Linked DNA regions of Rattus norvegicus. The protein of the gene in region 2 interacts with the protein of the main gene of each other region in a biochemical or structural test. Links are inferred from orthologs where the notes say so. Each region holds a gene or a part of one and is shown on either strand. Other genes may lie near its edges.

Region 1 (4,658 bases), on a different chromosome or scaffold from region 2:
TATACCACAGGGACACCTGCTCAACAATGTTCATAGCAGCTTTATTCATAGCAGTGAGAAACTGGAAACAATTCAGATGTCCATCAACTAAAGAGTGGATCAAGGAAAGTGTGGTACATTTACGTGATGGAATATTACTCAGCTATTAAAAACAAGGACACCATGAAATTTGCAGGCAAATGGATGGAACTAGAAAATATCATCTTGAAAGAAACCCATGGTATGTGCTTACTTGTAATTGGACATTAGCTATAAAGTCCAGGTAACCATGCTACAATCCACAGACCCATTAAAGGAGCAGTAAGCATTTTTATCCAGTTCTCCTGCATTTGCTTTTTTCAGATAGGGTCTCTCATTGGCTTTAACTTGCTCAGTAGGCTTAGCTGTCTGGCCAGGGATTCCCAGGGGCCCTCTCTTTAGTACTGGCATTAGGACCCTACATCACCACATCAGGGTTTTTAGTGTGGACTCTAGAAATCGAACTTGAGTCCACAGTCTTCAGAGAGAAATACTTTACTAAGCTATGGCTCCTGACTGCCCTTTAAACAGTATCCTATTGTCTCACAGGACCATCTCTTTCTGTGAGGCCTTAATGATTTTAAAACATACTCATTTTAAGCTGCTATTTCAAATAAGTTAAGCTCTTGAGCAGGGGCCTAATGCTGTTTTACTTTCTGTTGATTCTTATTCATGATGCCCTATTCTGAGATCAATGTCTAGCTATGTGTAACTATGGATTCATTTTTTACTGTGGTGAATGGTACATGCATGTGTGGTCCAGGTGCTTGAGGGCACTCAGTCACTTGTGATTCTCTGTGCAGGGTCAGAGAGAGGAGTTTACCTATGGAAATCCAAAAGGCAGCCTTCTGAGAGACCTGACATGAGGGTAGTCTCCCCCTCATGATCAGACTGTGACTGATAACCCTTCCCCTCCATCTCTTTTGTGTATTGGGGACTTGAATCAACTCAGGAGCTGACCCTCTGGGAGTGGTAATCTCTAGATCTTTGGCCACTGTGTAGTTTTCTTGTTTTATTTGGAGTTCATTTAAATGTTTTACTTTTTATCACTATTATTATGACCTATCAACGTCTATTCAGGTACTTTGCATGTGGTGGGGGCAGATTTTCAGTGCTTGTTCAGACACACACACACACACACACACACACACACCAGGAGTCACTAATTTAAATTTAAAACAGGAACTTGAGAGGTACTCAAGCTCCTCAAGGGAGGTACTCCCGCCCTCCCTTTCCTGTTTTATTGGGTTTTTACCCAGTTGTACTGTGTTTATTAGTTGCCACTCCAGAGGAGTAAAGACAAGTTAGTCAATCAGGATGCATTTGACTTCTAGAGTCATATAAGTTCTTAATGGGCTGGGTTATTTTGGAGTCAGAATCATTTTCTATAGATTGGACTTGAGAAAGTATCCAAAAAAAAAAAGGTTAAAAAAAAGTTTTCTGTAACTTCAGGGGTTGTGGAATAATGAAAGCTCACACCAAGTGCCAAAATGATAATTTGCCCCACATCTCTGTGTTGCCCACCCCCCAAAGCGCTAGCACTTCAGGTTACAGCAACTAATCCTCAGGGGCACCAGAAAAGTCCAGCTTCCCTCCTCTTCTCCCCCTGGCCTGCCTCTAATTAATCTGCCTGCAGCGTGGACCTTGGTGGTTTAACATTGTGCAACCTCTTCAGCTCCCTTGCCCTCCCACCCAACCCCCTCCCCCAAATCCAGGGGAACTCCCTCGCGCTGTGCCACCGACATTACTCATTCATCCCGTTCAGGCTTTGGAGCGTTTATTAAGGGCTTCGCTCCTGCCTTGCTCTATCTCTCCCGGGCTCTCGGATCACTAGAGAACCTCGCTTCTTTCCCTGTGGCGGCTGCGAGCAAACTTCGCCTCTCCAGCAATGCATCTCCCTGTGATTCTGCTTTGTGCTCTCTGGTCTGCAGTGTTGGCTGAGACCTCCTATGACTATGAGCTCATGCATGTGAATTTGGACAACGAAATAGACAATGGACTTCATCCCACCGAGGACCGTAAGTTCATTTTAACTTTCTCAGCTTACCAAAACTACATAACTCACTTGGGGGGGGGTTAATTAACATAATTAACATAAGTAGCCAATGAAGCAAGCTAAAATTGTACTTTATTTGTAAAAACAAGGACTGCCCGAGAAAAGCCAGAGGCTTTAAATTATTTTTCTAACACTTACAATGAGTTAAGCTATGCAAAATCACGGCTCTTTAACTGTTTTTAGCTACATAAATGGCATTTCCCCAGTTAGCTTAACATGTCTTAGAAAGAATGGTCCTATGTCATCTTTGAGAAGTTTACAACGCTGTTTTCACAGCTATCCTTAGAAGGAGAGGGGTTGCTGGGGACAGGCTTAAACTTGGGGTCACCAAAAGTGCAGCTCACTGCCAGCCGGGACAGGCTGGTAATGTGTGTGTCCTGCGATCTAGCCACACCATGCGACTGCCGCCAGGAACACTCGGAGTGGGACAAGCTGTTCATCATGCTGGAGAACTCGCAGATGCGGGAGGCCATGCTGTTACAGGCCACTGACGACGTCCTCCGCGGGGAGTTGCAGAGGCTGCGGGCGGAACTGGGGCGGCTGGCGGGCGGTATGGCGAGGCCTTGCTCAGCCAGTGGCCCGGCAGACGCCAGGCTGGCACAGGCGCTGGAGCCGCTGCTGCAGGAGAGCCGCGACGCGAACCGCAGGCTGGCACGCCTGGAAGATGCAGAGGCGCGGCGACACGAGGCGACAGTGCCTAGCCTAGGAGCGGTGCTGGAGGAACTGCAGCGGACGCGCGCCGACCTGAGCGCCATGCAGAGCTGGGTCGCTCGCCACTGGCTACCCGCAGGTAAGCACCCGGCGTAGAGCCCACGGTCGGAGGGGGACTCAGAACCCGGCTACTTTTCATAGGCACACTCACAGAGCTCAGACACATCACGCCAGACAAGCTCATTGCCTTGTTAAAAGCCTCAGGAACCCAAAAGAAAATGGGATTTAACCATCGGTCTGGAAGTAGATATCAGAGATCCCTGACACTGGATCCGACCAGATAGTACAGGAGTCCATTGGCAGGTGTTTAACGGTGATCCTTCTTGCTGCCCCGAGTCCCTCCGTTAGGGATTTCCACGTCTTCTAATTTTATTCTGTCACTCTCTTTAGCTCAGCTCTGGTTTCCCCGGCACTATTTCAGGGCCTGGACTAACTTCAGCGACTTTCCCAGCCCCTTAGCCGACTCCTCCCCCTCTACTCCTTCTGAGCTGACTGGAGCCTAATTGGATCTCCTGCAAACTCAGCAGAACTCCAGGACTCCCTCATCCCAGTTGAGTTCAACAGTGATGGTCAAGGGGTGCAGGCTCTGGGGCATGTCCTATAAAGTCAGGCGCAGGAGTCAGAGGATGTAGATGCCTGCATCTTGTGTCCCGGGGGTGGGGCACACAAGAAAGGGATTATTTAAGCTGTGCAACTTGTCAAAACCCCACATAAAGCCCATAAAATGGCACACTCTTAAAAGTTAACGAAACAGGAAGAACATTGGAGCCTAGTAATATGGTTCTTAAGTTAAATTTCTGATGGGGGCAGTGATGTTTTGTTGTAGATTTTTCTAGAAAATTAGTGTCCTATGTTGACAAATATCCCTGGCACGTCTCTTGAGTCTCAGAAACAATGACAAACAATAGCATCTCATACTGTATCTCCAATCAGATGGAGCTTATCGGATGGGGTGGGAAGTAGGAGACCCCAGAGCATGGCCCATTCCTTTACAGAAACAACTACGCTACGATCAGTCCTTCCTAACTATTTGAAGGATGGAGGCCATGCCCTTAAATCCTAAATAAATCTTCAGAGAAAAGCTATAAAGTCGAATCTAAAGCAAACCCTCACTGTGATCATTTTGTGATAATTTTAAAGGCATGGATTTTTTTGTTTTGCAAACTCAGTAGAGTCATGAACATATAATGTGCCCCTCAAAGGAAGGATTACTTTGTATCCTCACCTGTTAGTTAGAAAATATATACATTCCCGAATTCTAAACTGTTGGTGCTTATTACCCAGTAATACTTCCCCCTGCAGGCTGTAATTGTCCTCTCTCTCCTGCCAGCCTGGCCCCCAGAGGATTCCTAATCATGTTGTGGTCGGCCTCCTAAGAACCTAGTTTTCATTTTGCTTAGTCTTTGATAATATAATTACAAAGAGTTATTAGTTAAAAACCATTTCATGAGAGAATTTCTGACATTTCAAAGCGGTCTCAAGGGACTCGATCACTGCTCTGCAAAAGAATCCCACAAAATCTGCTAACATACTACTTTACAGCATGAACCCAAATAGCTGCCATGGCCTCCAGAGATGCTGGGTCTCCCAGACACAGTCACGGGCCACCCGGGAGTGTAATCAGCACTGCCTGGCCTATTTAAACAGGAAGACAGTTAATTAGGTTTAGTGAATGTTCCGTTGGACAGTTCTTTAAACTTACAGAGGCCAGGAGATTCTAAATGCACACAAATGGCAGTCTTTTGTCCCCACAATCATTTGATTTAATTGTTGTAGCTAGAAAAAGAATCTTATCTTGAATATGCCTCATTTAAATTTTTCATGAATGATTAGAAATTTTTAAGAGTTCTGCTATTATTTGGGGGCATTGCTG
Region 2 (4,731 bases):
AGTGAACCTTGCAACATTCATCATTGCTTTCCGTAGCAGGACTGGTGTTGCCATGTGCCCAGACGTTCCTGGGGCTGTTCTTCCCTGATTGACAGGCTCTCTCTGGGAACTGTGAGCAGAAATAAATCTTTCCTTCCCTTAACTGCTTTCTCAGGTATCTTGTCACATCCACTGACAAGCAACTACTACAATGAGTTATTAGAAGTTGAATTCCTACACATTTAACAAAATAGGAAGCAAGTCATCAGAAAATGCCAATCTGCATAGATTTGGGATATTAGACCATTGGGTTGAGTATCTCACTCCTGAAAGTTCTTATGGACTTAAGAAAATGCTTAAATGCTCTGTTCTCAGCTAATTTATCTATATGCTTGAGCTAGAGCAGTTAGCAAACCCTACACTGTATCACATTAGTGGTCCTACTTGTACTATTTTCTAGCTGGAATCTGTCATTAACATGCACATGAATAACTAAAAATTGTGCTGTATGTATTCAAACTATTGAATATTACATAGAAAGAAAAATGAACAATATGGAGTCATCTCCAGCAGATGAAGTTCTCAGTGAAGGACTCTACATAAACAAAGGAGTAAATTGCTTCCTCCACACTTACACAAAGTTCAGGTATATAAGGTCCATGTTCTTGGAGACACTGACAGTAGGTGGAAATCTGGAGGGCACAGAGGGGTTACCAAGGCTAGCAAGTTGGGAGTTGAGTATTGGCCTGGGTTCAACATCAATTCAGCATATTACAGACACTTTTTCACACCTCTGCTTTCTTATTATACAATACCGTAACTAGAAGCTAGAAAATTAGCATGTCAAATTGATGGATCTTTTGAGTTATTCATTCATAGCCAACGAGACACAGACCAGTTGCCTCACACATATAAAAAGAATTTCTTGGGAGACTCATTTCATGAATTTTAGAAAAACCAATCCCATAATCACCATCCCTCAGCATGACAGTCTTGACAACATTTCTGTACTATGCAGGGTGTTGGTCGTAAAAACACTGCCTAACGGAAGTTCCCTCAATGGTTTTTAAATTCGCCTTCATTGCTTTCTGTTCTGTGGTTTGTACACAGTAGAACACAGTTTCAAGGATTATGAAATCCAGCCCCTGCTCACATTTCCAGAAACGTGAACTTGTTTCCAAGCAAAACAAGCTGTGATTTACAAGAACAGCCCAGCAGGTCACAGACAGGGCGCAGTAACAGATGAGATCAAACGCCTATGCTGCTGGACTTGTGGTCTATCCTTTTAGTTTACTTTGCAGAAGTCGCTCATGGGTGGAGCATCTAGAAATCCTGATTTCCTAAACTAACTTTCAACTTCCCTTTGGGGCAAGTCTGTCTCTGCTGTAACCACAGTTCATAGCAGAGAGGAACTGGATGGTACAGCACATACTTCTCTTCGAGTCAACTGCTCCCAGATAGATCCAAGACATGAGACTGTCAGCAAGAATTATTTGGCTTATATTATGGACTGTTTGTGTAGCAGAAGGTAAGCTTAAAACCACCACCTTTCTCCCTTCTGACTGAGCCGCATTATAAAACATTTGCTGATAATATTTCTCATAGCAATTATTCAAATTAAGTCTAGAAAATGTGGGTAATTACTAGTCTGTAACTGAATGGCTTTTGGTGGTAAGTTTAAAAACCGTGAACCTTTCACTTGACTATTGTAATTGATAGTTCAGCTTGATGTAAAACTCAAGACAGTGCTTTAAACATGTTTTTGCAATCCATAATTAGGCATAGACATTTAACTTGTAGTTATCAGGAAATACAGGCTCCTCTTTTTCTCATGAGTGTCCCTGAAGTACTATATGTAAAACTAGTTAGAAATATATAAATATCCAAAGTCAATGAAAGCACTTACTTTTTTCTTTAAATGGGTGGATCGATTTCAGGCTTATTTCTAAACCTTCCTAACTACATCACTTAGCTGATATTTCCATGGTTTTAAAAGTTTCGTATGTAAGACCTTCAAGTATGAGATAAAAAGAAAATAAAATTTGACATGTAACCTGCATTGGACGGATCTGATTTGTTTCTGGTTTTGTTTTCTGTGAATACGTGTGGGGCATGTTTGTTTCTGAAGCCATTTTGAAGTAGGTAATGTGACTGTCGGAGTTCTTTCATGACAATAACAGGGTCTGACTTTATTATTCACTTAAATTCTCCCAAGACTGCTTAGTTTATCCAATGAAAGAGCTTTGCTTTCCCAGTTTAGGAAGGGTACCTAGTTGTGGGATAAACATTTAATCAACTCTTCTTTGTGTTTTGATTGTTTAAGATAGGGTGTCACTACACCCTTGAGCTCACTGTAGTCCTCTTGTCAGCAGCTTCCTATGGGCTGAGGTTACCAGTGAGAGTGACTGCCATGCCTGACTTAGCACTTTTTATATAAAGTGAATGACATAACTTTAATAACTTCCTTAAATGTTTCTCTTAGCCAATGCATTGTAATTTGAAGCTTTGCTGTAACCACTACTCAGTAAAGAATACTAAAATTATCCTCTGACTGGATGTTTACCAACCCACATAAGAAGAGTAGATATGGTTTCTCAGTTGTATCTTTTACTAAAATTCTGAAAAAAAAATTTAAGGGTATTTTATACTTTTTGAAAGAGTAAACATTTTCAATTATATTTTTTAATGTTATTCCTTGAATTTTAGCTTAAGAGTCTTGTATTCAGATGCCTTATAGACTAAGGCAGTCATTTCCTTGTATATGAAAATATAAGTATTGCTGAAATGAAATGTGATTATATTGGCCAGGAATTCTAAAGCAATGTTGATATTACCAAGCATAACTAAACTTTTTATTTTGTTAAAGGCAATGTTTTCATCGCTTATTTTAGTGTTCTACTTGAATAATAATGTTTACTAAGAGGTTTTTAAAGATATATAAGATTAAAGAAAGAACTATTTTATGTTTAGCTAACTTTTAAGTCTTAATTGATATAAATCGAATTAAGGTGTCTACACAATTACAAAGCAGAATTTCAATATTAAAAAGGAAGTGCCGCGATGTTTGCGTGATACTTTAACGCTAATGATTTAAAAATCCTCATTTATGCCATGGATGTCAGCTGATTTTTTTGTTATTGCTGGATTTGAATTTTCATCAGTATGTATTCAAATGTGGTGCCAGTTCTTGCTGATGAGGTGGGCAGTTACACTGTGTCCGATACTGTTTCACAGGGATTTTCCTTTCATTCACAGATGAAAAGAGAGTTTAGTTTCTAAATCATTATGTAGGGTAACCTCATGGTCTCCACAAAATGAATGTAAACAGATGGGAGAAGTTTCATGGATTTTCAGTGGACACAGTACTCCCACTTTAGTCTTAGCTTGGCTGGTGACCCGTGTCTATCTCAAATGTAAACAATTTAATCAGTCTATCAACTTAAGAGGAATTTCAGCAGAAGAGCTTGGATCAATTAAAACAATTATGTATATGCTGCAATGTTTGCTCCTGTTTCTATTCTATTAGATGCTGGCTACTAAGCTGATTTAAAAAAAAAAAGTTTGTGAAATGCTCTCATATTAGGCTTTCTGAAACAGGGAAGAAAAGATTTCATAAGTATTTTCTGCCCTGATAAAGATCAACATTCATCTAAAACCAATGTTAGCTGGGCCAGCAGGAACGGTAAACACAATAATGATCTTGCTTGGCAAAGAACCTGGCTACTTGAGTTCAATTCATGGGCCCCACCTGGTGAAAGGGGGAAAAAAAGCCTCCTACAGACTGTCCTCCAGTTTCCTCATACAGGCATGGCAACTGTATGTTACACCCACTCAAATTAAAAGAAAATAATAACCATAACAAAAAATTTAAACTCCACTATTAATAATTAAAGAATAATAACCAAAAGAAGAACTATGAACCCAGCTTGTTTGCCTCCCTCCCTCCGTGCCCCTCTCTCTCTCTCTCTCTCTCTCTCTCTCTCTCTGTCTCCCTCCCTCCCTCCCTCTCTCTCTCTCTCTCTCTCTCTCTCTCTCTCTCTCTCTCTGTCTCCCTCCCTCCCTCCCTCCCTCTCTCTCTCTCTCTCTCTCTCTCTCTGTCTCCCTCCCTCCCTCCCTCCCTCCCTCTCTCTCTCTCTCTCTCTCTCTCTCTCTGTCCCCCCCCTCTCCTTTTCCCCTTTTCTACTTGCCAAGGGCTTTCTCATATCTTTTTAGTGCAGTGCTTGACTGTATTCACACTTCTAGCTGCCAAGAACAGTCAATGGTGCTTCCTGCAAAACCACACGCTGATCAGAATTGGGTCAGATTTACAGGACAACCTGTAACATAAGAGAGTTCCTTGGTTGAGCCGTATAATTTCAGTTCTGGGGAATGGATTATACCCAAGCTTTCCAAGCATTTTACTCTCACAATTGAATATTGTATGAAATTAGGCCGCAGCCCAGGATTGCTGAAATGAACCAATTAAACCTGTGCTGAAACAAAACCAAATAACCACTGCGTGCTTTCTGGGGAGATAAGTGTTTTCTAATCCTGGAGGTTTAAAGGACAAAAAGGTCCTTTCAGGCTTAGAGACTTTAATCATAGAATGGAGAATTGGTTTAATTCTATAATGTTTTAAGTATATGATTTTTTCAAACTTAGTTTAACATTGATGTGGAAAAATTGATGTTATATACATTAATTATGAGTTAATAATAGTTGCTTTGGGGGAAATTTAGAGAAAAGTTAATTATTCTTTTATGTAAAATGATA

Evidence for each region. The genes of interacting proteins can lie anywhere in the genome.
Region 1: the proteins of Cfh (region 2) and Ptx3 form a complex in vitro, tested with the Homo sapiens proteins (3 studies listed by IntAct, with this or other methods). The link is inferred for Rattus norvegicus from reciprocal best matches to the Homo sapiens genes CFH and PTX3.

The regions. Positions count from the first base shown.
Region 1 is NC_086020.1:152,795,817-152,800,474, forward strand, and holds the start of Ptx3 (pentraxin-related protein PTX3 precursor), read left to right. Parts: upstream 1-1,746; 5' UTR 1,747-1,906; coding exon 1,907-2,036; intron 2,037-2,462; coding exon 2,463-2,864; intron 2,865-4,658.
Region 2 is NC_086031.1:54,161,193-54,165,923, reverse strand, and holds the start of Cfh (complement factor H precursor), read left to right. Parts: upstream 1-1,400; 5' UTR 1,401-1,449; coding exon 1,450-1,507; intron 1,508-4,731. UniProt on the Homo sapiens protein: Glycoprotein that plays an essential role in maintaining a well-balanced immune response by modulating complement activation.